3 linked regions of the Arabidopsis thaliana genome follow. The protein of the gene in region 2 interacts with the protein of the main gene of each other region in a pairwise test. Each region holds a gene or a part of one and is shown on either strand. Other genes may lie near its edges. The genes, in order: AT3G63210, MPK1 and STP2.

Region 1 (10,715 bases), on a different chromosome or scaffold from region 2:
ACCAAGAAAGAAGCATAAATAAGTAAAAACTACAATATAACAAAACTAAAATAGAAAGAAAGATTAATTATGGAGATAAGTACTAGTTGGTGGGAGACACTGTTCATTATCTGATGATGACCACGTAATTATTCAACTTTTCTTACTTAATTAATTAATCTCAAGGTCACCTCTCATGGACCGTTCGTTTTTCTTTTTTTATTTCCTCTCCATTACCGACAACTCTTTTAAGAAATATATAAGCAACCTATAAAGTCTTCTAAATTCATAGCTGTGATTGAATTCCACATACAGGGTAATATATAAGACATTATCAATTTTATTGTTCTTCAAAGAAGAAAGGCTAAATAAAAATAGAAGTGGCAGTAATCAAGTCTCGAGAATTTCCTTGGAGTTCTATGGTACGGCTAAAGTCATCAATATGGTGATAGGTTGGATAATTGAATATTTTTGTCTTGTTTTTTTTCATTTGACAAAGTAAATAATATGATAAATTAAAAGGGAGTGATAAAAAAATATGCAGAAATAGAAAATATAAGAACAGAACACGAAATTATTTGGGACCATATTCGCCCACCAATACCACGCTTTATTCAATATTATTTTTATATCACAATTATGCGTTCTGCATACAAAGTGATAAAATAAATTAACCTAAAGCTCGACCATGCACTTTTCTTTCTTTTAAAAATTCGTGTTTTTGCAAAGCCATTATAACGATCCTAGGCGGGATGATATTTGAAGATAGCATACAACAATCATAATGAAAAATGAAAATAATTTCTATATTATAAAACGATTAAAAACAATAATTCATTAAAATGTGATTAATAAGCCTAAAGTTGTGTTTCTGTTTAAATTACTCATCAATGCGTCGAAGCACGTAGCCCCCGTTAAATGCAAATGTGGCGTCCTTGTGTAATTAATAACTCCAACTATATGATGTGATTAAATATCTTTCTTTTTATTTCAAATATCAAATAAATAAAAAATAACATTAATATAAAGATTGCTAATAGTGTTCAATGCAAATTTCGATATTCAGTATATCGACCATACAAAGAATAATCAAGTACTAATATTTATATGGAAAAAGTAAAATAATTAAGAGTTTGTCATAATATATTGTTTTATATAATATCACGTTATATATATGAGATAATGCGTATAAGAAGAAAAAGAATATAGATGTGTACAGAATCCAATTATCCAAGTACAAATGTTTTAGAAATAACGTTTTGCAGCGTTGTTGTATAAGTACATAACGGATCATTTTGGCGGCGATTGAGAGATTCAAAAACGTCAAAGATGAAAAGATTCTCGTTTGTTTTTATTTCTTTATTAAATAATAACAATAGTGATTATATGTTAGCTTTATGATGTGCTTAGTTAATCCCAAAATCGGCTATGATGAGATTTAAGAAGCCCCAAATAAATAAAGTATAATGTTTGTGGCCCTTCTTCAATTAATATAAAGAAAACAATAGTGAACAAAAAAATGAAGCCGATGAAAAAGAAAAAGTATTCAACTGTTGCAAGATATAAATATTTGAATTTATCCGTTACAATATACGAGTATGGCAGATTGATTTATTTGTACAAGTGATCCAAGCATTTGATGTATAAGTAAGTAGTAAATCAACGAACAACAAATACAGTAGAGAGAGTATGAAAAAGAAATACGAGTCAACCAGCCAACAACTAATTTCAAATATAAAGTCGAATGTTTGATGGATCCAATAATGCGAGTTATAGAACATATAATAATGAAAGAACGTCCATATATTATTTATTAATCGAACTACTTTTTTTGTTGAATGTGAACGTACAATAATTGATTTCTACTATATGTATATGCAGCAAAATAATCGTGTTGTTTTTAAAATCAATGCATAAGTCATACAAATTTCAGTTTTGAAATTGTTAAGGTATTAATTTAATCACAATCACGAACTTAACTATATTTTTGCTGTGTAACTGATTAGTAAATAACCTGCTATATTTTAAATAGTACATATGCTTTTTTTTTTTTTTTTTTTTGGCAAAAAATTGTACATATGCTTATAATCTAAAACTTATAAAAGAGAAAAATACAAGTGGTTGACAAAATAAAAGAAGAGGAAGGAAATATCGGCACCGTCATGTGTATAATAGACCTGACCGCACACGTGTGGGTTTTTGTACTTGTCATAAGTTTTGCTTTTTTATTTTTGTTTGCTTAAAATGGTGTTTAAATAAAATAAAAGAAAGGAAGTCGAATCTGTAATATAAAAGTGAAGTCAGGGGCAAATGTAATGGATTTTGCTAAGATCTTCTTGTCTGTCTTCTTCAAATCCTTTTTTATTTTTCTTTACAAATGAAGGCAACTTGTGTGTTACACTGTTTGTTACATAAAAATAGTTTTTTGTCGCATAGCGACGACAATGAACATAATACGGACGAGAACCTCTGGCGGAAACCTCCACCACCATTCGGCCCAACTTTTCTATTGATAGATCTCTTCCTCTTCTTTTTTTTTTGTAACATTTTTCTTACAACAAATGATTTACCAAAACAAAAGATTCATTATTACAAATGATTCCTTATAAATTTCTACTATGTGTGTCACGGGAAACCCAAAGGGACAGTACATTTTATTTATTTTACTTTATGACTGACAGCTTTGTTTCTTCATATGTGTATCTTCAATTGTTCATTCTTCATAAATCACTTGATTCACAACAAATACTATCATGCATGATTATTATAGAGTATGCAGAAAGCTGACATTAGACTCAGAGTCTGAACACATTACCAGATTAATTTTGGTATCTCCTATATGGCTATATCTAGTATATACGACCTTCCTCTCATTAGTCTTAACATCTACTCCAACATCCATGTTGCATATATTAAGGTACTGGCTGATTCGAATAATAAACTTAAACATGATACTGACACAACTTCACACTTTGTTTTTACAATTAAATGGTTCCGTGAGATTGGGCCTTCTAGCTGCTCTGATATTAAATTTACGAGTCTATTCCAAAAAAAAAAAAGTGATGAGGGTCCTCAACATTTAGTTATCTGTCTTGCAAATTGGGCACGCCACCGAGACATGCAATCATCCCTGGGACTCTAACCTCATTACTTGCGGACCCTATTAGAAACGGCCCATATCTGGCCCGTATTATTAGGGACCGGCCTAATTATGCATGATATAGCCCATCGATATTTAACCACTCAAAATCCCCTCCCCTGCATCTATGGTTTGATCTGGTTTGGTTTGATTGCGATTAGAGTTATTATATACTTACTTGTAAACACCAAATCAGACTCATTTCACAGGATAAAAACACGAGTTCAATGGCTTCCCAGAAACCTTTCTCGACTGAAAAATGAGTCTGAGTTCAGAATCTGAGGTAAACGGTAACAAAACTTGATATATTGTTGTAACTTGGCGCTGTCAAAGTTAACAAAATTAAATCAAAAAGCAAATGGCCTTATAGCAATAACATTTTCCCTCTACAAGACCGCATAGAGCCACGACGAATGTTAGGTTATGGAAAAGACTGATGCTTTTGATATTTTCTGATTCAGATGGCAGTATTCTGCAAGTTTATGATATTATTGAGCCCTCCGAGTCACTCACTCTCATGACACAAAGAAAAAAGTTATCAACTCTCTCTCTATCTTTCACATATCTGCAGGCGAGAAAGGTTATGACTAGAAATACAAATACCCCCACCCAAAAAAAGAAAGAAAGAGAAGAAGCATCAGAGAACTAAAAGAATAATACAAAAGTAGATGATGCTGTGACAAAATCAATAAAAATGAAAAGAGATGGAGAAGGAGTGCTAGCTAGGTCTCCATTTGATCAAGAAGCATCTCCTGGTACCTGCACTCGCTGCTGCAAAAACCTTTCTCTCCCCTGCACCACAACCATTGTGATTAAGTTTAGTTTTGGAACCACTCTATGATCTGATTAAAGTCAAATACATAGATAAAAGATTGTGGAGGTACGAACCTGTATATGTAGATGTCCTGTTTCTGGTCAAGATTCTTCTTGCAGGTGAAGCAACGGCTTAGAAAACTCTCGGTGCTCTTGGTCTCCATGGCTGGTTGGGGTAAAGGAACAGAGCAAGGAGTAGCCTCCACGAAAACAGAGTTGTCGAAGATATGAGTGATGGTTGGGTTAGGACCGTGAGAGATGACGCGCGTGTAGTCCTCCGTCTGGTCAATCTCGCTCACTGCTAAGACCTTCGTTTGGACACAAGGACTAAGTTGACAAGGAGGATATCTGATGCCGGTTTTAGTTCCAAAATCAGCTGATGATGGGATCTGGACTCTGAGCTTTGACCCGAAAAGGACCATCTTGTTGACAGGTTTTCTAGAGTGGTCTCTGTTACTGTCTCCGTCTTTCACGAGATCGGCTAGGCCAAAGACGTCTGGAGAGTGAAAACGCTGGGGATTAGGGATAGTTGGCTCGAAATAGGAAACGGGTTTAGGGTTTTTGGAGGAGAAGATGGATGGGTTAGCTTCGAGTATAGACGTAGGGCTAACGAGTGAGAAATCAGAGTCAAAGGGAGTCATCATCATCTTAGAAGTGAAAAACCTAAACTTGGGAGAGCTAAAGAGAGATGGTGAGCAGTGGCAAGTGTTAGGCTTTGGAGGTGGAGGTTGATCAGCCATTAACAGAGATGTTTGTTTCTTAGTCGTCACGGCTGCTCTAGGTTTGTTTCTAAGCATAGTTAAAGACCGGTGAGGGTAAGGATCATAACTCAGTAGCTTCCATGGAGAGAGGAAAGCAATGAGTCTGCGTAAGAGAAAATATCTAAAATGAAAGAGAAGAAGAATAGAGAGAATTTGGTACAATTATTGAGAAACTCTGACTGCTTCTGGTATTAATGGGGTCTCTCACTCCTATGAAATGATGATCCTCTCCTCACTCGCAAAAATCAGATTAAAAGTTGCTTTCACTTATCTCTTTCCTCTCTTCTTTATTCCTTCCAAAGAGCGAGAGAGAGAGAGTGATCTCGAGAGACGGGACGTTGTAGATTTAACCAAGAAATGCATGCAACTTTACGGATTTACCCCTTACATTTATTAACACATAGAGATCTCAATTATTTTCGATCCATTATTCATATTAGGGACCGGATATGATTGAATGTGTATCGTACTCTCTTTTTTTTGTCGTCGTGTATTTTAACAACAACATACTACATTTTGGGTCGACGATAAAAGATTGGAAACATCTTTTGCAAGATTATCGAATTTGTACTCTCTCTTTATTTTTGTTGCATGTACAAACTTTTATTTAGTTTATTAGGTATACACTTGAACGGCGATACATTCATTATTTGTGCATTGATGTTTGGGCCTCTGAAACACAGGCTCTCCTTTTATTTTATACTACTATTTTTCATTTTTGTAAAAAAAACTGTGAGTTATTTATTTCTTACAATTTGTATCCATTATTATATAATACGGCATTTTGTCATTATTTCGTTTGTCTTTCTCAAATCATAATTCACTTTCATTTGGGTTTCTTGTTTTATTAATCAAAGAATCAGTGACGTTATTTAAAAATGTAGGAACAATAATCAGTGAATAATGTACATGTTAATCTATACTACTAAATATTTTATAAACAGTTTGTGGATAAAAAACAAATGTAATCAGAGGGGGGTCCACAGTTGCACCTGCTTTGCTTAATCCAATAATTAAGTTCTAGATAAGCGCCACGTGTGTTTGTCTACTAGTAAACGTTTGATTGAATGGTCTTGATGCGTTTTACTCCATTACAAGACAAATTATATAATAATAATCACTTATTTGACCCAAAAAGTTATATAACTCGTCGAACCACTTTTATTGTTGTTGATCTTGTTTTTCTCGAATCCCATCTAACTATCGCATTTTCATTGTTTAAGCTCGTCAACTTCTGATTCATACCAAGATTCAAGAAAAAACAAAAAGAGTTTCAAGTTGCAAGATTATGTATAATCATAACTTCACTTACAAATAATCAACGCAAAAGAAAACATAAATATTACTTGGTAGCCTAGTAGGGAAAGAAAAGTAACGTATTCGGATATAATACGATAGAGGAAGGAATTAGTGATAGACCCACGGTGGGGCTAAAAGGATGTGGACAGGAGTGTGTAGGTCCTCTCCTCCTCCTCCTCTACGGTTTTCGCTATTTCTATGACGTTGTGATCATATTGGCCTTTTCTTCTCCCCCTGTCGATTCAAGCTTTTATTTTCTATGTTTTGTTTAGCCAAGGAAATTTTGTGTATTTGTGTCTTGTTTTCATGCCTCAAGGTCTCTTCTTGCCTCAATTGGGTTTCTCTTTTTTTTTTTTTTTTTCTTTCGGATAAATCTAATTTTGTGAATATCCATCTGATTAATTTTCTTACAAATAAGAAGAAACAAATAGCGACTACTCATCCATATATGCCATTGAATGTGCTATTTCTTTTTAATGTAATGAGTGTGTCCATCGATTCCGTAATTGTGTTTGTAACCCATTCAGTCTAACAACTTTGATCCCTTAATCACTACGACTACTACCAGAAGCATACGTATATGTTTTGACTCCCAATCCATAGACGTGACTCTTGATAGATTGATTTCCTTCTAAACCACCTGACGTAGAGGTTATAAAATATAATTGGAGTGGAATCAGCACTAATCATTCATTTGATTCGATACTGAAATTTTTATATTTCTTTCCATTTCATGATTTCTTTGATGACTCGCCATCTTTAATCATGGTTATTATTAATTCGAAAGTGGCACCGATATATTGTGTTTATCAAGGATATAGTCATATCACCCTAATTACCAAAGATAAAGAAAGCAAATGAGCAAGATAATGAGAGGTCCATTTTCTTAAATCATTGCTTCTTTGTCAACATGTCTTAAATCCGAATCATTACTCTTATACACTACAAAATACTCCTTAGAGCTTGAATACCACAATTTTGTTTTTCTGTTCAATGACCAAATATCTCCATGTTCAAACCCATATTGCTCTTTCAGATTGTTTAAGGCCCAACACAAAATAACTTATGCAACCTGTCCAAACCCAACCTGATATCATTCCCACATATAGCCCAATCAATAGACCTATTTTTTTTTTTTTTTTTTCACCAGACTCATAAATGATATTTTCTCAAGACATAAATCTGCTATTCGTTTATAGACAATAACCAGGCTTTGATGACATTTTCTCAAGACATAGCTGCTATTCGTTTATTTTCATTTCTCAAAGAAGATTTAAAAACAATAATGCTCACAACAGTTAACAAACAGGAAGAAAATACAAAACAAAAAAGAACTGAAAGACGTCATAATGAAGCCACATTCCCATCCATCAGATTGTCAACTGCGTGCAGCCAAGGATCGTCCCACGACACCTTGTCATCGGCGCCACACTCCTCCAGGCCGGACGATCATTCCCAACTGTCAAAGCGTCGACATCTGACAAGGGCTTGATGTCCCAATTGAGCCTATCAGGTCCGATCACTCCTCCTACGATCAAAACCTCATCACTCAAACTCGTCATCGCCATTCCGATCCTCCGCTTAAACTCTGAGGCCGATGCAACCATCTTCCACGTGTCACCTTCTTGCTTGAACACCAGCCCATGGCTCATCACGTAAAGCACGTCCTCAACGACCACCATTGGACCTTGCGGCCAGCCATAGTCTTTGACATCCCACCCGAGTTTAACGCTCTCAAGAACCTGCACCGTGGACAAGCCTTTGTGCAAGACGTGGACTTTCCCGTTTACCACTAGACCCGAGCAGGCAGAGTTATGAGTCTGGTGGAGATCTGGGATGGATGTCCAGACGTCATTCTCAGGATCATACATCTCCGCTCCAGATATGGATTTCCTGCAAGTGGTGAATCCGCCAGCAACAACAATCTTCCCTTGAAGAACGCAGCAGGCGAACATAGCACGAGGCACGAGCATTGAAGCGCGAGGAGTCCACTGTCTCTGTACAAAGTCGTAAGACCAGACCTGGTCAGTAGCAAAGGTACCGTCGTGATCCCCGGTAACAGGGCTGACAGCGTCGCTGCCACCGCCTAAGACAAAGAGCATGCCGGCAGTAGTGACAGCACCGAAATGGGCAAGGTGGCGGATACGAGAAGGAAGGAGAGGGAGGGTGAGCCAGCGATCACAGTTGGGACTGTAGACTTGCCAGATGTTCTCAGGATCGAAAGCACAGACGCAGAGGAGATGCTCAGAAGATCGGAGCTCTTTACGGACTCTGAAGAGCTCATGACTGCGGATAGCAGCTCGCCAGGAGCGAGAGACGAGTTCTAAATTGGGATGAAGGTGTAAAGGCACATGAGCCAGGCATCTCAGAGCCACTGCTTCGGGGATTCCATCCAGCAGCCCAGACATTGTTTCTTGTCTGTAACACATTTATGAGATTGATCATCAGATACAAGCAATTGCAAATGCCCAATCTTTGAATACAAATATGCCAAAATTGACCAAAAAAGCTGAGAAGCGTGTAAAGTGAAGATTTTGGGTGAAGTAACTTATTTCACCGTAAGACCTAATAAATTCTTCTCTCGAAGCTGCATCACACAGCATTATAATCGATTTCAAAAGACACCGCCGCATCACACAGCAAATAATCGATGAAATTGGATTTAAAGAAACCCTAAAAACTTGAGGCGAGAGAGAGAATCAAGATTGGGCTCCGACGAAAGCATTTAATCGAATCCAATGCAAAGCAAAAGCGGAAACTGAGACACCGGCGACGATTACGAAAGAGAGACAAATCAAAGGGAACACAAAGAAGAAGAAGAAGTCGCACGCTAAGAATTAGATTAGATTAGCATAATAAACCAACAACAGATTTGGAGGTAATTTTACCTGAAGCGCGGCGGGAGATTGATGAACACGAAGGAAGGAGATTGTGATGATAGATATCTCTCGGGAGAAACAAGTTAGCTTGTGATTTTGCCGGACGACGACAATTGAATCAAATCAAATCAAATCGAGGTTAAGGAACAACAAGAGCAAGGAGAGAACAAGGTTTTAATAAAGAAGCTACGTCGTCGTTTTTACGTTTATGATATTACTAAACCGATTTTATAATCATCATTTATGATTCTCCCCCGTACCGGCCTTTTTATGTTTTTCTTTGGGTTGCTGCTTTCCACACAAAATATCAAAACGTTTTCTTTTCATCAACACATACACATGTGAGAGAAATTGACACCAAGTCTAGAAGAATACAAACTTATGTCGATTTGGATATTCTCTGATCCTAATATCTCTATTTTGGCAACTTCATCAAATTTTTAAACAAAAATGTTATTTTCATTCTTTTTTACCTCAAAATCGTATTTACATATATGCTATTATATTTAAAATCTTTGTGAGTTTTGATCGTAACATGAAAACGATTATAAAACGATTACAATCCGAAATCCCTCTCTCAAGGGATGGCGAATATAATGATTCCGAGCAAGAGACCGCGAGCCCCAAGCTTCTCTGAGAAGCATCCAAAGTACGTAGGTTCTTCGGATTGGTTGCCGGCAGAGAAAGACAAGGCTCAAGTTCAGCTCACTAACTTCCTTGAGCTATGTCGTTTCTGCAAGAAGAATCTACGTCATGACGAGGACGTTTTCATGTACGGGTCAGTTTTTTGCTTCTTTTCCTCTCTGCTTAGATATATCATTGTTAGGGATTCTTTGTGTGTATTGTTACTATGGTTTTCATTTGTGAAATTCCTTGTTGCAACCATCTGGCAGATACTTGGGGGCATTCTGTTCAAAACAATGCAGAGCAAAACAGATGGCATGCGACGTCTTTAGAGATTTCTCGAGACAGAAAGCAAATGTTAAGAAGGGAAGAACATCCAAAGATGAGGGATTAGATAGGATCTCATCATCACCATCATCATCATCATCATCATCATGCTTTTATATATGATTTTGAATTTGATGATGATTTGGGGTTCAGTGTAGATGGATGTGTGCAACTATTAAGCCTTTTGCCTCGTTTTTTAAGGGGAATTGGCTTACTACTCTCACAAGTTTGCATCGGCATATTATTATCTGTCGATCAAACTTTCTCTTTGGTTATTTGGGATTCTCCTTTTTTAGTCTTCTTTGCATAACCAATTTGATGTACAAGTGTGTTTTCTAAGGGTGGATATGACAGCTTCTGATATCTTTTTTATTAATCAAAAAAGTTTGTCTTTGGCGTTTACACTTTTGGGTTTCGGCAGTCTCGTAAACTCAGAGAGGCTTTGGAATGCAACTTTATTAGGGCATACTCTAATAGACTTGGGCTTGCTTTGTCTGTGGACTATGTAGATCAAGGAGATTCAACAACAATGAATAAAACAGGCCCTGTATTGTAAGCCCATAATTAAAAAACGGGCCCATTATCATTTATCTTTTTCTAAAAATAATTTTAAATGGGTTAATAACATTTCAGTAAACATATTAAAGCTGGTAATCTCTTACCGTTGGTAATTCTACATTTATTCTGTGGCCGTATTTGTTTGTTTAATGCGTGCGTGTGATATTCGAATTCTTGAGAAGGTAGCCAGCAGCCCAGCAGCCATACGTAAACCTTCTTTGCTGGAATTGAATATGGTAAAAATAATATACCAAGGAAGAATATTTATAGATTCTTACATAAAAAAAGGAAATTGCAAGCATCATCAAGGCGTTATTTCCCGTTACTTGGAGGTAT
Region 2 (10,960 bases):
TATCTCAAACCGGCCTAGCCACACTAGTTCCAAACTCCACACTAAACCGAATGATTGACCTGAGTTGGTGAATCATCGATTTCCAAAATCTTGAATACTATTTTTAATTTCAATTTCAATCTAAATCATATAATATATCCTCCAGCCTTATCGTGCTATTTCCTTAAAAGAAAACCAAACGTGAGCATGTATAATAAACAAAGAAATAGTACAGGTTGTCCAAACAACAAGAAATCAAAACTCCAAACTAAAAAAATTTCATTTACAGATCATCAATTAGACGAAAGTTGTACACAAATGAATCAAGAAACACTTTACCACGACCAACAAAAATAATCAGTTTGAATAGTTTACATTTCACTAGCATTAGAGAAAGGAGAAACAAAGAAGAAGAATTTACGTATCTTTCTGTCTCAAAATTAACAACTATGGACAAAACAGAGAAGACAGAACAAAAGAAACCAAGGAAAATGTTAGATGAAACGAATAAAAGAAATTCACAAAAAAAGAAAAAGTTTTGATTTTCGTCACCGGGTTTCACTTTTATCAGGAGCAGCTCTGTTTTCAATATTTAGTTTCTTCCTCCTCTTCGTCTCGTATGTTGATCCTCTGTTTCTGCTCTGTTCCTTGATCATTGGAACCAAGTACCAAACGATACAAGTGCACATGATCGAGACGGTCCGTCCGAAAAACACCAATAATATTAGAACCAGCACCACTGTCACGGGTAATAAATGGTTTGGTCTTGAAATCTTCTTCAGATTCTCATTCAATACACAGCTCTGTTTCTGCTCTGTTTCCAAATCTGTTTGCTTTATTTCTTTTTCCTGCTCTGTTTTTGATTCGGTCTTTACATTGAAATCATCTAGAACATCCTTATTCTTGACCTTGAAATCATCTAGAACGTCCTTCTTCTTGACCTTGAAATCATCTAGAACATCCTTCTTCTGACTTGCCCTCTTTGTCTTGATCATTACAGGGACGCACTCGCCGGAGCTAGTGAAGACAAACCGAACAAGAGGCGGTCCATCAGGATCAAGCCTCTTTGCGTAAATGCTCTGTCTTTTCTCATCGAGCTCAGATAGAAGTGCAGAGAACTTGTCAAGTCCTTGATTTGAATAAGGATTCTTGCTTTCTTTGTTTCCTCTTCTCGATCTCCTAGGTGACGAAAACGGACTCAACATATCAAATCAATTCAGTCCAATCAACAATATCCTCTTTTTTTTTTTTCTGTTACTGGTCCTTTGTGTGGAGAGGTTGTGAGAATTTGAGAGCTTGAAGGAATTTGGTTACGGAGGAGTTGTTAGGCAGGATTTAGTATTTGGACAAGAGAGACGGCTTTATTGTTATCATAATGAGACTTGTCTTAAACTAATTGTAAATATTTCAGATACACAAATGGATTGGTGATTTGACCAGATCTCATTAAATGTGATGAATTGATCAGATCACGTATTGTTGACACTTTTTTTGTTCTCTTTTAGGACGAATAGAAGATAAGTTTCTACCAAATGAAACGTCATCCCAGATGTATTTTGCTGATCTTACAAATTGACTTTCTTGCGGAAGAAGCTGCAAAAAAATTTCCATGATGGTGTAATCATATTTTTTTGGTTTATCATAAGTAATTGACTAATTGTTAATTTAACTTAGTTTTGACTTGGGGAGAAAGAAAGACAAAAGTGATTCAACCATAAACATATAGTTGGAATATTCATTGTTAATTTAAATTTCTGATGGGTTTACAAAAATTGGAAAATCCTCCAAGTTATTTATATACTATGAAAAGAAAAATGAATTATGAGAAGGAAAGTTGGTGTAGAAGAAAAAGCTTTTAGCCTTTAAGGCTTTTTAACCAATAGAAGCAACATATCATGTGTTGACAAAAAAATGAAGCATATCATGTGATAAATGAATGAGGAGGGTACTGATACTACTCACCAAAATTATCTTATAGAACTTCATTAAGAAATTGAAAGAAAAACAATACATTGTTTTTGTTACGATTTGGAAAGTTAGGTTCGGTGCAAAGGCCTACCCCTTCTATGAATCCGAAGGCCTATGATCATGGTGTGATCATCAAATATTCATATAACAAAATGCTTAATTGTTGATATTCTTAGATTTAAGCTATATGAGAACAACTATATGAAAACTTGATTCATCAAAAGGCTTGGATTGCATGAGAGGGTTAAAAGTTCTGCAAGAACGCAACAAACAAACAGAGAAACAGAAACACAGCTCTCTCTATGAACATATGTTACAGACACACATCAAGCTTGTAATTAAAAAAAAAACACAGCTCTTTCTATGTACATATGTTACAGACACACATCAAACTTGTAATTAAAAAAAAAAAACAGCTCTCTCTATGTACATATGTTACAGACACACATCAAGCTTGTAATTAAATAAAACAGAGCTTCCATGGCATCACTATTCGCTTAAACTATAAGTTAGTCTTCATCTTATTTTTCAAGACTATATACACTATGAGTCTATGATGACAATCAGACATAAGAAGAAGAAGTTTTCTGTAAATTACCCGTACAAACAAGACTTGAGCTCAGAGCTCAGTGTTTAAGGTTGAAGCTTGTGGATGGTAGTGAAGCATCTCATTCCACATCATTTCTCTTATCATCTCCTCTCTCAAATCCTCATCTACATCGAGATCGATAGGAACTTGAGCAGGAGGGTTTGCATTCGGGTCATATAGAGGCGCCATGTATGGATGCTGGAGTGCTTCAGAGACACTAATCCTCTTTGACGGATCAAAAACAAGCATTTTCTGCAGAAGGTCGATGGCCAAAACATGAGCGCCCGGGTAAAGTCTGGATAAAGACATCCCAGGTGAGTACGGAAGTGATCTAATGTATCTTTTAGCTTTCGGGTTATCTATGAACTCAAGATCTTCTTCTCTTTGGCTTCCGAGAATGTTGACAATGAGCTTCAGCTGGTTAAGACATTCCGTTCCTTGGAATATCGGTTTCCTACCAAGAAGCTCGGCGAAAATGCAACCAACAGACCAAACATCAATGGATGTTCCATAGTTGTCACAACAGAGGAGAAGCTCTGGGGCTCGGTACCAACGAGTCACAACATATTCAGTCATGAACTGACCCTTGGTGTTGCTCGCACGCGCTAGTCCAAAATCGCATATCTTTAAATCGCAGTTTGCGTTGACAAGAAGGTTACCAGGTTTCAAATCTCGGTGCAGGATATTGGCTGAATGAATATACTTGAGCCCTCGAAGCAACTACACAAAAAGAACAAAGCAAAGCAAAATTTCAGGAGAAAGCAAAGCTAGAACCAACAGTAAATGAACGGGATCAACCACACACCTGGAACAAGAAGTATTGGCAATGATCGTTACTAAGAACTTGAGAAGACTTGATAATCTGGTGGAGATCAGTGTCCATGAGCTCATAAACAAGATAAACATCCTTGAAGCTCATCTTATGAATTGGCATCATGACATCTTTCAAAGCAATGACATTCTCATGTCGAAGATGGCGTAGAAGCTTGAGCTCCCGAAGAGTCCTCAACGCATCGATCCTATTCTCATAAACATTGTGAATCTTCTTGATAGCAACTTTCTCGTTGGTGTCACTGTTAACAGAGGAGCAGACAACACCGTAAGCTCCACGACCAATAGGCTTGATAGGCATGTACTTAGTGTCGATCTCGAACAGAGTTTGCCACATTGAGAAGTAATGCTTCCCTTCATTCCTTATCCCATTAGGAGGATCAACCAAAGTCGCCATTTTTTGTTTTCCCTCTTCATCACAATTCACACACAATCAAGAAATCAAATTTACACACACAATTAACAAATTATTATACTAACTATTTATCAAAACTTTTCAAGTGATAAGTTACTGTAGATTTCTTGTGTAAACAGATTGGTCTGTTAATAATAGTGAAAAGGAAAAAGATCAAACTTTATCGATTTGGTGAAGGAACATAAACGATCGGAATCAATGGGAAAAAAGTTTACGGGATAAAGCGGGAAGGAAATTCTAACCGGTGATAAGTGACCAACGACGTTCCCCGGAGGTTAGATTTGGCCGGAGAGAGAAACCTGTGGAAGTGAGAGAGATTTGGCCAACGCTCGGACAGTTGACCTGCTACTTGTTCGTTACTAGGTAGTCTTTCCTTATATAATTTGGGCTTAAGTTGAGCCCAATTAATATTGGCAAACAGATTCACGTCTCTATCTTCTAAAATCAATTTCGGTATTTTTTAGTAACTGATCACCAAAGTAGCATCATTTGTGAATATGTGTTCTACGAAGATTTATAAAAATTGAAAATGAAGAAAAGTATTTTAAAGTAAAATATATCATAAATGTAAACAATGACACATGACTAAAATATTGCATCACCAATTCACCATCTTCTTTTGCTTTAACTTTACGTTTCCATCACACATCTTTTCATTTTGCTAAAATTAGCATCTAGAGGAAAATAAACTACAAAAGATTTAAAAGTTTTCATTAAGTCAGATTATTAATATAAGAGAGGAGGCCCATGCAGACAGAAAGGGAAAGCCCATAAATCTAAGCAGTGGCAAAAATGTTAGAAACTGTATAAAATGATACTAATAAATTGGTTGGAGTCTATTATAGTAGCAAATAAAAATAACGTTAGGTATTTTTGATTAAATAAAAGATGTTAGGTATCATTATGATCACTCATTCTCTTCAACCAATTATGTCAATACTACAGCTCATCAAAAGCCTTTATGGTAAAGCATGTTTCAGATATTTTCATTATTCATATACACACTACACAACATATAGTATTAAAGAAAATAAATAGTGTATAGATATTTAGAGATTTCCAACTAATTCAACATAACCAATACAGCTTTTAATCATTATCTAAAACCAGACAAAGATTCTTTCCAGTTGGTTTTCCCTGTTCTATTTCCTTACAAACAGTTATTGACTATTGAGCATTGCCTTCACTGTTGAGAAAAATTTGTGTAAATCTTACGCACTGTCAAGCAACTGCATGCATTCTCTAAATAATTACCTGACTCTAGATATAAAAGAACTGAATTAATGTAAAAAAAATATAAGCAAAATATCTAGGAGACAGATATTGACGGGTTACTTCAAGTTTGGACAAAAATAATTAAGAACACAAAAAATGCCGTTGAAACCTTTTCTTTTTGTAGTACAGTTTTTAGTTTTGTTGCTAACGTTCAAATTATTTATTTATTCATCGCTTATCTTGTTTTGTGGATTAGACAACCACGAAAAACAATGCTAGGGTTGTCAGAAACACCAAATATTCGAATTTGCATCCAAAATTCGATACTCATCTTGAACTTTTTTGTTTGTGACATTTTATTAAAAATTTCAATTTTTCCTAAAAGAATTTTACTTTAAATATTTAAAAAGAAGAAGCATGTTCATTTTTCAATATATCTGGTCCCCATATTAAAACAAGCAACAATAATTGACAATCTCTTTCTTTCATCTTCATCTTATTCTTCTTTATCTCTCTCTCTCTCTCAAGACTATTGAGCTTCTTTCTTTTTTCCTGAGTCTTTTAGTCTGATCTCTTACAAGAATGGCGTTCGCAGGAACAACCCAGAAATGCATGGCATGTGACAAAACAGTTTATCTTGTCGACAAGTTAACCGCCGATAACCGGGTCTACCACAAAGCTTGTTTCCGATGTCACCATTGCAAAGGAACTCTCAAGGTTTGATCTTTGATTCTAGTTTGTGATGATTTCTCATTAATCCAGAAGTAGATCTAGTAGATATATATGTAGATGAAGAAGTCCAATCAATTAAGTAGAAATCTTTGAATTTTTGGCTATGGAAACTGATTGGTCTAAAGATTTGACTGTTCTGTTTCTTCTTCTTCTTCTTCTTCTTCTTGATGAGTCAGCTTAGCAATTACAACTCCTTTGAAGGAGTTCTCTACTGCAGACCACATTTCGATCAAAACTTCAAGAGAACTGGAAGTCTTGAGAAAAGCTTCGAAGGTAAATTACCAAAAACAGATCAAAATGTGAAAAGCTTTGTGAGTGGGGATTTCAAATTTGGAATTATCTATCTAAAGTTTGATTCATATATATGTACAGGGACACCAAAGATTGGGAAACCTGATAGGCCTTTGGAGGGAGAGGTACTTTCGGACAGCAGAACAAAACCCTTTTTCTGTTTTTGAGGTTCTTGAATTTTTTTAACATTTAACATGAGAGAAGTTTAACAGAGACCTGCTGGAACCAAAGTTTCGAATATGTTTGGTGGAACACGAGAGAAATGCGTTGGTTGCGACAAAACCGTGTATCCAATTGAGAAGGTATCCAATCTCAAATCTTTCCTGATCAGAATCAAGTTGTGTCAAAGAAGATTGTTAGATTGTTTCCATAACGAATCTGATCTGTTCTTGGCTTAAACCAGAGCTGAAACATTGCTTATAATGTGGACTTTGTGTAGGTATCGGTGAATGGAACATTGTACCACAAGAGCTGCTTCAAGTGTACACATGGAGGCTGCACGATAAGCCCTTCGAATTACATAGCTCACGAGGGTAAGCTATATTGCAAGCATCATCATATTCAGCTGATCAAGGAGAAAGGAAACTTGAGCCAGCTCGAAGGAGGAGGAGAGAATGCCGCCAAGGACAAAGTCGTCGCTGCTTAAAGAAACAATTCAATCTCTCTGGGATGATTTTGACTATCGAAGAATCAAAAGAGTCACTACTTCTCCATCGATCGATAACATATATTGGTTTTGTTTCTTCCTACGTTTGTGTTTTTCTTTTTGGTCTTTAATATGTTTTTTTTTTTTTGGGACCTTTGTTCACTCTTTTATTGGGTTTCTTGAAATGAAACTAGAGAAACAAAGAAATAATGGATGTTTGCTTATGAGATATATATGTATTACGTTCATATGATATAAATTAATTTTCGTGAAGTTTAAGCTTCAGCTAAATGATCGATTCAATTGCTACCATCGTTGATTCAGGTTATTGATAATTTGTTACTCTTGGCAGAGAGGATGATGAAGTCGCGTGAAGATAGAGGATGGAGATGTAAACATATTGGGCTAATTCCTTACAAATGTTAACATAGATTAAAAACATAAAATAAAACAAACAAATAAGGGTAACAAACCGAAACAAGAGAGACAACCCATAACATTAATAGGCCCAACGACCAAACCCATGAGTCCCAACTCGGAGGAGACCAATCGACGAAAACCCCTACACAAGAGGCGCACTAACACAGAAAACAACCCTTTGCCGAAACTCAATCGGAGAAGGCTAACAAAAATTTTGCAAAGTACTTCGTGAACTTGAATTTGTAAAAACAAAACATATTGATTCATGGATTTTTTGTTTTAATGTTATTGTCTTCAAGGAAAAATCGGGAAAATAATGGCTACTATAGATATAATACAATGATATGAAATTAATTACAAGTAGAAAGTAGACATACTTATTAGCCCTATTGTAAATCTACCAAAATGATTTAAATCAATGGTATTATGTGTTAATTCATAATATTAACAGATTTTTATCTCAGGAATTGTTGAACAAACACTAATTACTTTTGGTCAATGCTAATTGATTAATCTACCATAAAACTCTTTCCCCAAAAATTTTGGTCAATGGTCTTGAATTAATTGAAAAATGTTTTGTTCCTCCTCCAGCCTTATATATTAAAGGGTTATCTTCCATGCTTCAAAATCAATAACTCTCTCGTCTCTCTCTATTGTTGATTCAAATGGAAGTGATATGGATGTTCTTAATGTGTTGCATCTTTGGTAACATAATTATAAATCATAACAATGACTTTGTTGAAGCTAAGAGCCTTTCTAAAGTTGAAGATTTAGAAATCGAGAAGAGACTAAGGACTATCAACAAACCTGCTGTCAAGATCATCAAGGTTTTAATATATCTTCATAACCATGTTACTGTTCTCTATATATTATACAATTAAGTAATAAATGTTAACTTCTTTATATATTGCTGTAATGATAGAGTATAGATGGAGAAAGATACGGATGTGTGGATTTCTTCAAGCAACCAGCATTTGATCACCCTTCAATGAAGAATCACACATACCATTACAAGGTATATATAATTTCATATATCAGTTCTATATACTTATATTCTTTTAGAAACATTAAAAGAAAACTACAGTAATATATTTATGGTGTTCGACATGTTTTAGATGCGCCCAATATGGAAAAGAATGAGAGAAAGAAAGACAAATAATACCAATTTTGGTTACCTATGGGAGAATGGTGTGGGTTGTCCCATTGGTACCGTCCCCATACAAAGAGTCACCAAAGAAGATCTTTTGAGATTCGACTCATTTGGCGATAATCATAAACCTCGTGGCTCTTGGAATTTTACCACTGATGATACTAATAGTGACAACCAACATCATGTACGTTGCTTCTTTTAATTAATAATGTTTTGATATATTTATACTGATTACTGATAATAAGAATTGGTTATTGAATGAAATTGAACGCTATTAGTTTGCGGTGGCTAGGACGGTTGGCCAAGACAAGAGGTTCAATGGAGCAACGATGGAACTTTGTTTAACCGCTCCTAAGGTTAGGCCAAACCAATTCAGTGCTTCTCGACTTCACATTCAGATTGGAAGTGATTTCCTCCAAACCGGTTTTACTGTAAGTTATTTGATTTAATTTGTTTGCCATCTACAACTTGCACTAGATAAAAGCACCTGTCAACGAGCTCTAGTTACTTAATTTATTTTAGTAACTAACAAAATATGTATTATATTGTTTCATGAACACATATTATATGTACTAATTCAGGTAAATCCAACATTGTACAAGGACGACCAACCTCGGACTTTCGTCTATACAAATGTGAGTCACGCATATCATGCTAGTAAATTTTTTCTTTAATTTTTATATTTTGTATACATGTTAGTAAGAAAATGTATATATTGATGGAACAGTCAGGTGGAAAATCATGTTACAATAATGACTGCGACGTAGGAATGATACTCGTTCGTCAAGATTTTCATCTTGGTATGGCATTATTGCCAGTGTCTGTTCGTGGTGCTAAGACAACTCATTATGCAATCTTCGGTCTAATCAAGGTTTAAATAATTAGGAGTATGACACAGCATTCACAATTTTATGCATACATATTTGTGTGTTTCTTAAACTAATGAAAAAATTCACCTATTATTTTCGGGTAACAGGACCAAATAAATGGAAATTGGTGGTTGCAATTTGGTAATGCTGCAGAGGAAGTTGGATTTTGGCCGTCGAGTAGATTTCATCAAAGCTCTGGAAATTTGGTGGAGTGGGGTGGAGAAGCGTATAGTGCATCACAGCCGAGTCCTCAAATGGGATATGGATATTTTCTTGATGCTAGTATGCGCTACGATGCATATATCAAACGGATATCTGTAATCGACGGTTTTAATAACATTGACCGCAAAGTGGCATATACCGAAAAATTCGTGGACGATACTCGTGGCTACCAAGTTGTAGACGACTATAATATTCCCGCATACCCAGAAGCCGGTCATATAATCTTTTACGGTGGTCCGGGGAATATCTAAATATGATTAATTACATCTCTGTGGAATAAAAATTAATAAAACATTACATTGACTTGATTATACAATAAATATCGTCATCATGCGTTTCTTTTGGATTTTAAGATTATAAATGTTTGTACTAAAAGAAATATTTCGAACTAGATCCTCGTTGATTATAATTGATTCCTGGAAACAAAACAAGGTAAAAATAGGGTGAACAATCTAAAATTGCTTAGTGACTTTGGTAACACTCACCAAGTTATAAGTGTGAATATTTTGTTGTCTACGTTTTTTGTTTACTATTCTTTTTCTTCTCCATTTTGTTATATCTTGAATTTTATTTAAAATTCAGTCACAAAAACGAATTAATTACTTAGATGTTATAGAAAAGTATGAATATTACTAGAATATCATACATCTTTTAAAAGTTACTCATATATTTTGAGTATTTGTGTAATTATAATTAACACCTTTGATTAGCTAATATTATTTAATTTGTTTTTAATTAAGAAATAAATAAAAAATAATTCACATCAATAATCCACGTTAAAACCGAAAATAATTAAAATCTTTCAATTTCCCAATATTTTTAGAAAATATAATTGGAACCAATTGTAAAAATGTAAGAATATTTAACTAATAAGAGATGTACTCGACGAGTTAAAAATTTCATAATAAAAATTTATAATTTAAAAACAAGGTAAAAATAAAAATAGTATTTTTGTGAGATAAATCATATATATGAAAGTTGACCAATTCTCTCCATATGATTGACACATCATCACTTTAACATTTGCCATGTGTCCACTGAATAATTAATGTAAGCTCTTCAACTTTTAATTTATAGATTAATGATATATTTATTATTTAATTTTACATATTTAATTGTACTAATACTAAATTTATTTTGTTATTAAATGTTTTTCAATAAAATAATTTGATTGGTTTTCTCATACTCAAAAGATTTTTTTCTGTAATCTTAACTCAAATTATGAGTGTATAGTAGTCATGGATTAATTAATAGTTTGAATAGTTTGCATATTGTTATATATCTATATAATAAATCGCCGAGGGTGAAGAGTATGTAAGAAGTTTAATCATCAAATTCTTAGGTTTCGAGAATCCCAATATTACCCTCTATTTAATTAGTTTAAGACGAACATTGTTTATGAATTGTGTGTATAATGCATTGTTGAGAATGTTGTTAGAAAAAATATATTTTAATACTAAGAATAATTACTTATTATATAAGTAAATGATTAGATAATTAAAAATTATATTTAAATTAAACGATACAAAAAATTTGAAAATACCGCAGCATAGCGCGGGTGATTAACTAGTGTTACTAATAAATATAGAAGAACGGTTTTATAAAATATGTTTTGGAACACATAAAATATAGG
Region 3 (10,784 bases), 1.1 Mb from region 2:
TAGTTAAAGTGGATCTACAAATTTATAAAGAGAACTATGCCCAAGAGCAAAAAGAGAAGACTAGGTTTAGTTTTTTCTATTTTTCTTTACGGTCCACAGAGGGAATAAACCCTTTGTTTAAGTGAAGAAAAAGGTTAAGCAACCATTTGGTATCATTCTTCTTTGATGATCACTCATGTGTGCACATAAGTTACATAACAATCTAAAAAAGTTTCTTTTTGACTCCAGGAGAGGCCAATATAATCTTACCTTTATGGATGCAGATTCCTTTCATGAGTCTGCGGCTACAATAAAAAGGAGGGATCAAGGAAAGAACAAAAAAACAAGTTAATGGTGGGTACAAGAATATGAGAAAGCATATAATAAACCAGGGAGTGTCAGGACATAAATAGAAGATCACACAATCTGGAGAATAGAGTGATTTTACATGTGAAAACATTCCATTGAGAACAGAACAATAATACCTGCATGATTGTCAGTGATTAGATGCAAATAGCATGAGATTGACTGATATGTATAGCAGGTTACCAAAATGCCAAAAGGGAAAAGAATGCAATAGCAAAACTGCTCTGTCTCATCGTTATAACAAGAGCACAATAGACTTAGCACCAACCGTGTACATACCATTTTACCCAAAACGATCAGAGAGAACATCTTTTCTGCACTGTGATGAGCATGATTCAAGACACATTAATCCAAACGCTCAATGAATATGGAGATCACTGGTTCCAAACGAAAATCACACATTGGTATCATCAAACATGAAATAAGAACCAAAGTCTTTAACCAGCCTGCAAAAATATTCGGCAGAATCGCAGGATATAGGACTGTTCATGTCTGAGACAGAGCATACTACCATACCTAATCAGAGCATGGTTCAAACAATAAATCAACAGTAAAGTGATTCACATTAGAACATTAACCCTAAGAACCCAATAGCTTGATTCAAGAAACTGAATGAAGGAAAGAAATGAGAGATGTTTTAGAAACATGTACAAAGGTACAGAAGGGGTAACACCGAATATCAGCTAGAAAGAAGCAACAAATCAATTCACAAACGAGACATACATATAGACATAACATATACTTCACCAAATTCATATTTTGTCATCAGCCATTTCCTGGTGTTCTAACACCAACAAATCTGATGATAAGTAAAGCCTTAGAAACGCCGCACACTTGTGAAATTCAACAACTTTTTGCCATCCTCAACATTCACGGCGATAATCACGGCCATAGCTGTAGTTTGGCCTAGCTCCGAAATCACTCTCAGACCTCTCTGCAGCAGCTCTCTCTTCCTCTAAGCTCAATCCACCCATCGTCTTCTGCAACTGCCTGTGATCATAAGGAGAGTAATCGACTGGTGCCGATGGACCATTAGGCACTCCGTAGCTAGACAATCGCGAGCCCATAGGTGGAGCTTGTGGCTTGTACTCGGTAACCAGAAAGGCATCAACGGGTGCTGAGGGCCCACTAGGCGGTGGACCGTAGTTAGAAAACCGAGGAGGAGCTAAAGGAGGCTGCTTGTGATCAATCGATGAGAAGGCATCAACGGGAGCAGATGGGCCACTTGGGAGGCCGTAATTGGAGGCACGATCGTACATTGAACGTGGTGGAGGAGGCGGATAATAATACCCGGAATAGTAGTGATCAGTGAATGCGTAAGGAGACGGAGACGGTGACTGTGAGAATTCTCTGTAGTCACGCTGAGGAGATGGAGCGGTGATCGGTGCTTGAGGAGGAGGAGGAGGAGGAGGGCTAGGGGAGTAATAATGGTTTCCTTGAGGGGCAGAATAGTAATCTAGTGGTTGAGATTGAGGACGTGGCGGAGGATGCTGCGGTGGAGGGATTGGTCTGTCTTTGATCGCGAGCTTCAAACGAATCTTCCCCTGTGGTCGACCCGATGGACGAACCAGCTCGAGCGAGTTGATCAATTCCGGAATCATTGACCCGTCCGAGTCAATCAAACGAGCTAGAGGAAACCTAACCGATCCGACGAGGGTTTTCGCCAGATCCGAAGAATTGGAATGAAAAACCTCGATGTTGAGGACCGATTCGTGGACAGATCGGGTGAGAGGAAGAGTAATCCGCTCGTTCCACACCGGTTTGATGGAGGAGGAATCATCGGAGCGGGTGGAGAGAGGGTGGTCTTGGTCAAGATACAGAACAACGTAGGGTTTCAGGTCACCGTTACGCCAGTTGACATTCTTCAGGTGCTTGGCAGAGACGACGGTGACAACCAGGTCGAGTGGCTCCGACGAAGTCATGAATACGGTGCGTTTCAAGACGAGACGGTGGCTTACGCGGTGGTCTTAGCTAACGTGCGCTCGTATCTCAAATATCTGTATCAAAGTCTCAGCTATCATCAACTATCATCGTTTTATCACAGAGTTTTATGTCTCAAAAAACCTGCTGGCTATATAAGAGGCTTTTGACTTTTGGAGTTTGACTCTTTCTTACTAGCGACAGCTGGAGTTATTCATGAACAGGATAGTTATATCCTTATGTCCAAACAGATGCATAAATTCTCACCAAGCACAAGATAGGCATTTGAAGAGTGGATAACACTTTCTCAGTCTTTCTTCTTCTTCTTCGTTGTGATAGGTCAGGTCAGGGAACAACAATGGCTTCTTCTGCAACAGCACCAAATTCGCTATCTTTCTTCTCATCTTCTCTCTTTTTATCCTCCTCTCACCAAATCCCTAAAACCTACATTTCCGTTTCAAAACTCGGCTCCGGCAGAGTCTCGAAGCCGCTTTCTGTCTCTTCCCAGCTAGCGACTCTACCGATTCTATCATTCGAAGGAGAGAAGGTCGGAGAGACGTATCTAGACCTCAAAGCGGCGCCGGAGGATACCGCGCGTGCCGTTGTGCACCGAGCCATCGTGACGGACCTGAATAACAAGCGGCGAGGTACTGCTTCCACACTGACTCGCGGTGAAGTTCGTGGTGGTGGAATTAAACCTTACTCACAGAAGAAAACTGGCCACGCGAGGCGTGGATCTCAGAGAACACCGTTACGTCCCGGTGGAGGTGTGGTGTTTGGGCCAAGACCTAAGGATTGGTCAATTAAAATCAATAGGAAGGAGAAGAAGCTAGCGATATCTACGGCGTTATCGAGTGCGGCATCTGCGGAAGGTGGTGCGATAGTGGTGGAGGAATTTGGGGAGAAGTTTGAGAAGCCCAAGACTAAAGATTTCTTAGCTGCGATGCAAAGGTGGGGATTGGATCCCAAGGAGAAAGCTATGTTCTTGATGATTGATGTGGATGAGAATGTGGCGAAATCGAGTAGGAACATTGGAACCTTGAGGATGTTGACGCCTAGGACACTGAATCTGTTTGATATTTTGAACGCTGATAAGCTTGTTCTGACTCCTGCGGCTGTGGAGTTCTTGAATGCGAGGTACGGTGTTGATGCGGTGGAGGAAGAAGATGACGATGAAGATGAGACGGAAGGTTAGTGTTTTCTTGAAAGGAACTGGCTTGTTGTCGAAATTTGATGTTTTGAATGTTGTGTTTGATCGTTTTTGTCTGGTTTTAATTTCTTGAAGAGGTAGAAATATGATGTGTTAATATGGAAAAGTAATTATTTGTTTGTGTTATGAAGGGTCAGAGGAAGCTTAAGAATGAGTAGCACCCGTAGTTCCAATTGCTTCAAGTGTGGCTTAATTATGAGTTTAATCTTGAGTACATCTTCTCACTCTCCTTGATGAGGTCTTCTCTTTCCTTTTTGTGTCACAACAAGAGAAATGTGTATTTACTTTTAGAGTTTTTCTTAAGAGATCATCCTCAATTTCTTGTCATACTGATTTTGTGTCCAACTCTCAATGAAGGAGTAAGGAGTGAAATTAGATATCATGAGTAACGTTGATTGTGTGTGTATCAGTTAAGATTGAGCAACAAAGATTGACTTTAGTCATCAAGTTAACAAGAAAGAGTGGCTATTATAAGCTTTAAGCGTTGATGTTCATCTTGGTTTTGAAAATCATGAATAGTCTCACACAAATCTGTTAACAACTTGCTAAAAAAAAGGATTAGCTAGAAAACTTAGGAAGTGTCAATAGTGTATGTTATTTACAGACATTTGATGGGTCTTGGTGGGCTTAAGAAGATAGCCCAATCTTTTGAAGAAAGAGATATGAGATGCAAAATCCATGAACTTTAAGGGTCAATTTCTGAACCAGTAAAAAATGTGGTTAAAAGTGTAAGAAAACAAGAATCTTTGGAAACATGTGTAAGAAAGCAACTAATTTAACTCCCGCCCTCTCTTACCAGTTTTCTATTTTGTCTTCTCCGTCCTTACCGTGTGTTCTGAAAACTGAAAAAGAACCAAAACGAAAATCTAAAAAAACCCTTGAAAAATCTATTTTTTATTGACTGGTTATTGTTTCAAATGAAAGCTTGACCTCTCTCTTATTGATCAATTTTCGCTTCTTCAATTAAACCATATTTGTTTTTCCCTTTCAAGCATTTTGATTCTCTAGGACAAAACACAAACCGCCATAGACAGAATGCTTTGGGTTATTATCTCTCAAAGTGTTCTGAGAATTTGAACTGTTTAAAACATGGGAATCGATGCCAAAGATGTCGGAACTCTGTTCTGGAAAATTCTCAGATTTTCCACGAACATCGTTTATAGAAACGTAAGGAATCACCCAGTTGTTTCTGGTGTTTCTGCAATTATCTTCCTCCTATACATTTTTCTTCCACGCCTTTTTTATTTCGTCCTTTACTCTTCTCCGTTAATCGCATGCTCTGTGTTTTATCTTCGGAATCATCCAAGTTTTAAGCTTTTGCATATCAAAACGGATAATTGGTTTTCACCATTTTCCCAAAAGAGATCTGAGGAGGAAGAAACAAGGAAGGCTGACTTAAAGCACCAACGAAGTGTTCGACGAAACGCTAGAAGGAAAGTTGAAGAGGTTGGGAAAGATTGGGACTCTTCTCAGGCTAGTGAAGATGAGAGAGACAGAGTCATTTTAACAACTCTCTATGGTGAAATTCCCAATACTGCAAAATCTCCCAAACTTCAGAAATTCAAGAAAGATGGAGCCTTTCTTGTGTCTGAAGGTTTCTCCTTTGAGCCTAGCTTAGATGAAGAAACTCTTTCAACCACCGGGAATGTTTCCGTTGTGGATCCATCGGAGAGGTTGACTAGTGGTGGTGGCGAAACCGAGATCGAGTGTTCATCGTCATCAGAAGGCGAAGAAGAAGAAGAAACTACACGTGAAGACAAAAAGATTGTAGCTTGGACAGAGGATGATCAAAAGAATTTGATGGATTTAGGAAACTCTGAGATGGAACGTAACAAGAGGTTAGAGCATTTGATTACTAGAAGAAGAATGAGGAGATTAGTCCGACTTGCCGCTGAGAGTAGCTTAATGGATATGGAAGTTCCTCCAGTCTGTGTTGGACGGAACTATTTCGGTTTGGATCAAGAAAACTATATAGTTGATGGTCTTCAAATGCCTGAATCTGCACCTTCTGTGTTATTACCAACTAAAAACCCTTTTGATATTCCTTATGATCCACAAGAAGAGAAGCCTAACCTCTCAGGAGATAGTTTTCAGCAAGAGTTTGCAGCCAACCCTAATGATATCTTCTTCTGCCGCCATGAAAGCTTTTGTCGCAGAGTCTTTCCATTGGACAATCAGCTTGACACGAAATGGGAACCGTGGAAAAAGAAGTCAATACCACAACAAGGTACATCCTCTTGTCATTCTGAAAAATGTTGTAGCTTACAAAGTAAATGATTCTAAGTTCTACAATTCTGATCCTTGCTCATGTAGGTAGCAATGATGGATTGGTTGGGGAGAAACATCCTGTAATGAAAGGAAAAGATCTAACAAGAGGAGAAGTAAATGATATGGAGTCAGAACACATGACAGAGATTGTTGTTAGTGATTCAAACTCATTGCTTTCTCCTGAAGACAGGGAAATGAATTCTGATGTCTCAAATCAAGCATATTTTTCTGGAACTTCTGGGAAAGGAAATGGTGATCTTCGTGTTGAAAACCCTTTAGTTGGTTTAGTTCCTAGAAACACTGGTTCGCTTTCGAGTTCTTTAGCAGCGGAAAGGCAAAGATACGTGGAGCATTTTGGTTATAGCTCAAAAAAAGGTCATAAGTTATCTGTAGAATCTGATCTTCAAGTTGAGGTTTCTGAAATTGGATCACCTCCCACTACAGTTGATGGGAATAATTCTTCTGATGAAGAAAAATCACGTATTGTCAACGAATCAGACATTGGGAAGGAGACGGGATTTAGTGGTGAGGAGAGCATTGTGGATAGAACTGAAGAAACTCAAATGTTACCAGTGGAGAAAGTTGATAAAGATTTAAATGAAACGATTTCTAAGGTCTCTCCAGAAACTTATGTAGCCAAACAAGTTGAGGGTCTGTCTGATGGTACTGATATCAACGGAAGATCTGAGGAAGAAGAGAGCTCAAAATCCGGACGCTTTCCACTGGAAAATTCAGACAAAGGATTCTATATACATGAAGAGTCAACAGTTCCTCACATCAATGAAGTTATTTCGAGAAGAGAAGAGGTTATATAGTTCTTGTTCTTGTCAGGTTTTATGGAAATATGATTGCTACTTGCAATGTGTTTCTCAAAATGTTGAATTTGAATATATTCCTTGTACCGTTATGACAGGAACGTGTCCAAAACTTGACTGATGAGATGAAGATAAATGATGACTCTGATGAACCTGAAGCCTTTGAAAGAAGAACAAATCAAGAACCCCAAGAACATTTTGGGGGAAATGATGGAGACCAATCAACTCAAGAGTTGCAAGAACTTGTGGAACCTGAAGTTTCAAATGTGAACAATGTCACATCAGACGAGTCTGCTACTTCCCCAAGATCAGTGTTACCAGACATGTTGTTATCTTTAGACCAGACTTATACTCTGACTTCTGAGAGTTTGGAACATACATTAGATAGTCAACCTCCGCCAGTGATTCCATATCCGGAATCTCCACAGAATCAATCAGGTGTTGATGGGAACAGTAGATGAAGTGTGCTCAGAGATCAGTTTCAATGACAGTACTTGAACTGAAATGTACCTTTAACAAAATGATGACGTGTGTTTTCTAAAACAAGGATAGTCTGAGGCAAGTGAGAAGCTAGAGAAGAAGTTTCTTCTTTAGATGCCATTGTCCTTTTGTTGAACACTCAACAAATTCAGGCTTATGCAGTGTAGAGGATTTAGGTTCCCTAGCTAAATTTTATGTATATGCTAAAGTTGAACATTAATGTGTGGAATTTGATTTAGTGAAGTGATCATCATTTTGTTTGATGATAACTGAGATATAATTTATGTTGTCTTTTAAAAAGTTTAATGTATTATAGTATGGGAAATCTGATAATGATTGGTTATTTCTAAATTTTAGTAAATTACTTTCTCTTTTAGTTTAAAATAAATAAAGGATCGTTGATTATCAACAAGATAAAATTTTTTACAACAACAACAACTCTTCTCCTGATTATGAAGCTCTAAATATTTTTTAATATTAATGACCAATTAATTTTACCTTTTAATATAAGTGGTCACCTTTTTTTTTTAAAACCGTATATCAACTTATCTGCGTTTTTCTCGTATTCTCTCATGGGATTAATATTTGCTTTTAAATGTGGATAAATGATGTCCAAAAAAACATTTGGATAAAATTTTATCCATGCTGAAAAATGTATAACAAGAATTTTTTTTTTTTTTTTAATAACAAATACTTATAATTCTTACGATTATATAGGTGTAGATTATTATTCTTTTTCATGCAATGACCATGCGGATAATTTTGTCTAAATTTTATCCAAAACTTTTTTCACACTCATTTCTTATAGGAAAAATATTCTACCCAGACTTGCTTGTGTAATTATATGAATGTTAAAAATATTACATAATCAAAAGCCAAGCTCTGAGATCATATATGTCGTATAAAAAATTATTATTGTGTCGATCAAACGTCATTATCTTTTACTTAAAAAAAAAAGAGTTTTTATTTCTTAATCTCGATATTGATCTAAACGATTTAATTGTTTATTTATTTAAATGATAATATCTTAATATCAAAACACATATATCTTATCAGTAATTATCCACATTTATTCTCAGATAAAACAGGATCGAGTCAGAAGAAAAATTCGTTCAAAAAGATTCAGTTGTTAAATCTTAGTTTATCCAAAACCCTCACACTCATCTATAAAAGAAACCCCATCTCCTCTCTTAGGCATTTGAGTTTTATTTACGATCCTCAATACCACATAGTCAGAAATATTAAAAGAAGCTAAGAGATCAACAACAATGGCTGTTGGTTCGATGAATGTCGAAGAAGGCACTAAAGCTTTTCCTGCGAAGCTGACAGGTCAAGTCTTTCTTTGCTGTGTCATTGCTGCTGTTGGTGGTCTCATGTTTGGTTACGACATCGGAATCTCAGGTTTGTTCTTCTATTGGTTTTTGTTTGTTAGGGTTTGACTGTTTTTTCAGTGATATCAATTAATGGTGATCAAAATTTGCAGGAGGTGTAACGAGTATGGACACTTTCTTGTTAGATTTTTTCCCACACGTGTACGAGAAGAAACACAGAGTACACGAAAACAACTACTGCAAATTCGATGACCAGCTCTTGCAGTTGTTCACTTCCTCACTCTACTTGGCTGGAATCTTCGCTAGCTTTATTTCTTCCTATGTTTCTAGGGCTTTTGGAAGAAAACCCACAATCATGCTCGCCTCCATCTTCTTCCTCGTCGGTGCTATCCTCAACTTATCTGCCCAAGAACTCGGCATGTTGATCGGTGGTCGTATTCTTCTCGGCTTTGGTATCGGTTTCGGTAACCAGGTATCATGTCAAACCCTCAAAACGTTTTTCTATCTCAGTGGATTCCTCTGTTTTCATCTAGGGTTCCTCTGTTTTCACCTAGGGTTTCCTCTGTTTTTATGCCTTAACTCATCGTGTTTTGTTTTGTTTTGTTTATTAACATTGAAAGCAATACTTTTGCAGACCGTTCCATTGTTCATCTCAGAGATTGCTCCGGCGAGATACAGAGGAGGACTAAACGTCATGTTCCAGTTTCTCATCACCATTGGAATCTTAGCAGCAAGTTATGTGAACTACTTAACTTCCACGTTGAAAAACGGCTGGAGATATTCTCTCGGTGGTGCTGCTGTCCCCGCTTTAATCCTCTTGATAGGATCCTTCTTTATCCACGAGACTCCGGCTAGTCTCATCGAGCGCGGTAAAGACGAAAAGGGGAAGCAAGTCCTGAGGAAGATCAGAGGCATTGAAGATATTGAGCTCGAGTTCAATGAGATCAAATACGCAACAGAGGTAGCGACAAAGGTGAAAAGCCCATTCAAAGAACTCTTCACCAAGAGTGAGAACAGACCACCATTGGTGTGTGGAACGTTACTTCAGTTCTTTCAACAGTTCACCGGTATCAACGTGGTTATGTTCTACGCTCCAGTTTTGTTCCAGACGATGGGTAGTGGTGACAACGCTTCTCTGATCTCTACTGTTGTCACCAATGGTGTGAACGCAATCGCTACAGTTATCTCTCTTTTAGTGGTTGATTTCGCCGGTAGAAGGTGTCTTCTGATGGAAGGAGCTCTCCAGATGACCGCTACACAGGTTAGTTTTTTTTTTTTTTTTTTTGCTTGTGTCACATGGTACACATATTCTTACTTGGATAACAAGCTAACTTGTATTTTTTTTGATCATCTTACGCAGATGACAATTGGAGGCATTCTCTTAGCTCACTTGAAGCTAGTTGGTCCTATTACTGGCCATGCCGTGCCGCTGATTGTATTGATCCTCATCTGCGTATACGTGTCTGGATTTGCATGGTCTTGGGGTCCATTGGGATGGCTTGTTCCGTCTGAGATCTACCCTCTTGAAGTGAGAAATGCTGGTTACTTCTGTGCGGTGGCGATGAACATGGTCTGCACTTTCATCATTGGACAGTTCTTCTTGTCTGCTCTCTGCAGATTCAGATCATTATTGTTCTTCTTCTTCGGAATAATGAACATTATCATGGGACTATTTGTCGTGTTTTTTCTTCCCGAAACCAAAGGTGTTCCTATTGAGGAAATGGCCGAGAAGCGTTGGAAAACGCACCCGCGTTGGAAGAAATATTTCAAAGACTAGATTTCATTTTCTTTCTTTCTTTTTGTTCCCCAAGGTCCCTAGTTAATAACTAGTAATTTGAACCTTTTCTAATTTTTCTAGCTAGGGTTTGATTTTTATTTTCTGCTATTTTTTTAAGTTTGTAGTTCGAATTGTTAAAGATTCAGTTGGATATGTTTATCAATCAGTTGGAGAAGTTTAATATTTTCAGTTCTGGTATTCAAATAATCAGGCACAATTATAGTTTGGGGATTGAATTGTCTAAGCAAACGACAATATTCTCGAACTTCAGTTTTTAAGATTCCTAATAAAGTGGGACAAATCACTAAGAGATTTGTGCATATCAATATAATCTATATTAACTATTCAAAAACAACTATATATATCACTAATAAAATCATGTAATTTTTAGTTTTAAAGTTAAATTTACTCTTGTTGAAAAGAAGAAGAAGTTAAATTTACTCTTTATACCACTTACACATAGGTGTATGAAATACAAAATATAACTAGAAAATAATTCAGAGGGAAAGAAACGTAAATTTGTTTTACATATAATTAAGTAAAATGTTGAAAAACAGAAAAAGGTTAAGACAATTTTTTATTGTTTTGATAATTTGAGCTAAGACAAAGTAAAAAAAAAAATTAAAACAAAATTTTGT

The links.
Region 1: the proteins of MPK1 (region 2) and AT3G63210 interact in binary tests that used the Arabidopsis thaliana proteins (3 or more experiments, as listed by UniProt).
Region 3: the proteins of MPK1 (region 2) and STP2 interact in binary tests that used the Arabidopsis thaliana proteins (3 or more experiments, as listed by UniProt).

The regions. Positions count from the first base shown.
Region 1 is NC_003074.8:23,350,179-23,360,893, forward strand, and holds AT3G63210 (mediator of aba-regulated dormancy protein (DUF581)), read right to left. Parts: upstream 5,303-10,715; 5' UTR 4,729-5,302; coding exon 4,007-4,728; intron 3,927-4,006; coding exon of another isoform or gene 3,911-3,926; coding exon 3,841-3,910; coding exon of another isoform or gene 3,813-3,840; 3' UTR 3,336-3,812; downstream 1-3,335. Other genes in the region: AT3G63215 (uncharacterized protein), read left to right, coding at 3,813-3,926, 4,052-4,162; AT3G63220 (Galactose oxidase/kelch repeat superfamily protein), read right to left, coding at 7,362-8,420; AT3G63230 (senescence-associated-like protein (DUF581)), read left to right, coding at 9,455-9,648, 9,764-9,851, 9,975-10,160. UniProt on the Arabidopsis thaliana protein: May act as an adapter to facilitate the interaction of SnRK1 complex with effector proteins, conferring tissue- and stimulus-type specific differences in the SnRK1 regulation pathway. Involved in seed dormancy control.
Region 2 is NC_003070.9:3,342,383-3,353,342, reverse strand, and holds MPK1 (mitogen-activated protein kinase 1), read right to left. Parts: upstream 4,262-10,960; 5' UTR 4,025-4,261; exon of another isoform or gene 3,779-4,024; 5' UTR 3,765-3,778; coding exon 3,342-3,764; intron 3,257-3,341; coding exon 2,567-3,256; 3' UTR 2,163-2,566; downstream 1-2,162. Other genes in the region: AT1G10220 (ZCF37), read right to left, coding at 528-1,184; WLIM1 (GATA type zinc finger transcription factor family protein), read left to right, coding at 5,580-5,714, 5,906-6,002, 6,102-6,145, 6,233-6,322, 6,460-6,666; AT1G10190 (NEP-interacting protein, putative (DUF239)), read left to right, coding at 7,752-7,913, 8,009-8,101, 8,202-8,420, 8,515-8,667, 8,818-8,871, 8,964-9,107, 9,213-9,578.
Region 3 is NC_003070.9:2,246,567-2,257,350, forward strand, and holds STP2 (sugar transporter 2), read left to right. Parts: upstream 1-8,255; 5' UTR 8,256-8,306; coding exon 8,307-8,439; intron 8,440-8,521; coding exon 8,522-8,841; intron 8,842-9,003; coding exon 9,004-9,630; intron 9,631-9,729; coding exon 9,730-10,146; 3' UTR 10,147-10,284; downstream 10,285-10,784. Other genes in the region: AT1G07300 (josephin protein-like protein), read right to left, coding at 250-439; AT1G07310 (Calcium-dependent lipid-binding (CaLB domain) family protein), read right to left, coding at 1,209-2,267; RPL4 (ribosomal protein L4), read left to right, coding at 2,624-3,455, 3,607-3,623; AT1G07330 (dentin sialophosphoprotein), read left to right, coding at 4,565-5,702, 5,789-6,549, 6,657-7,019. UniProt on the Arabidopsis thaliana protein: Mediates an active uptake of hexoses, probably by sugar/hydrogen symport. Can transport glucose, 3-O-methylglucose, xylose, mannose, fructose and galactose.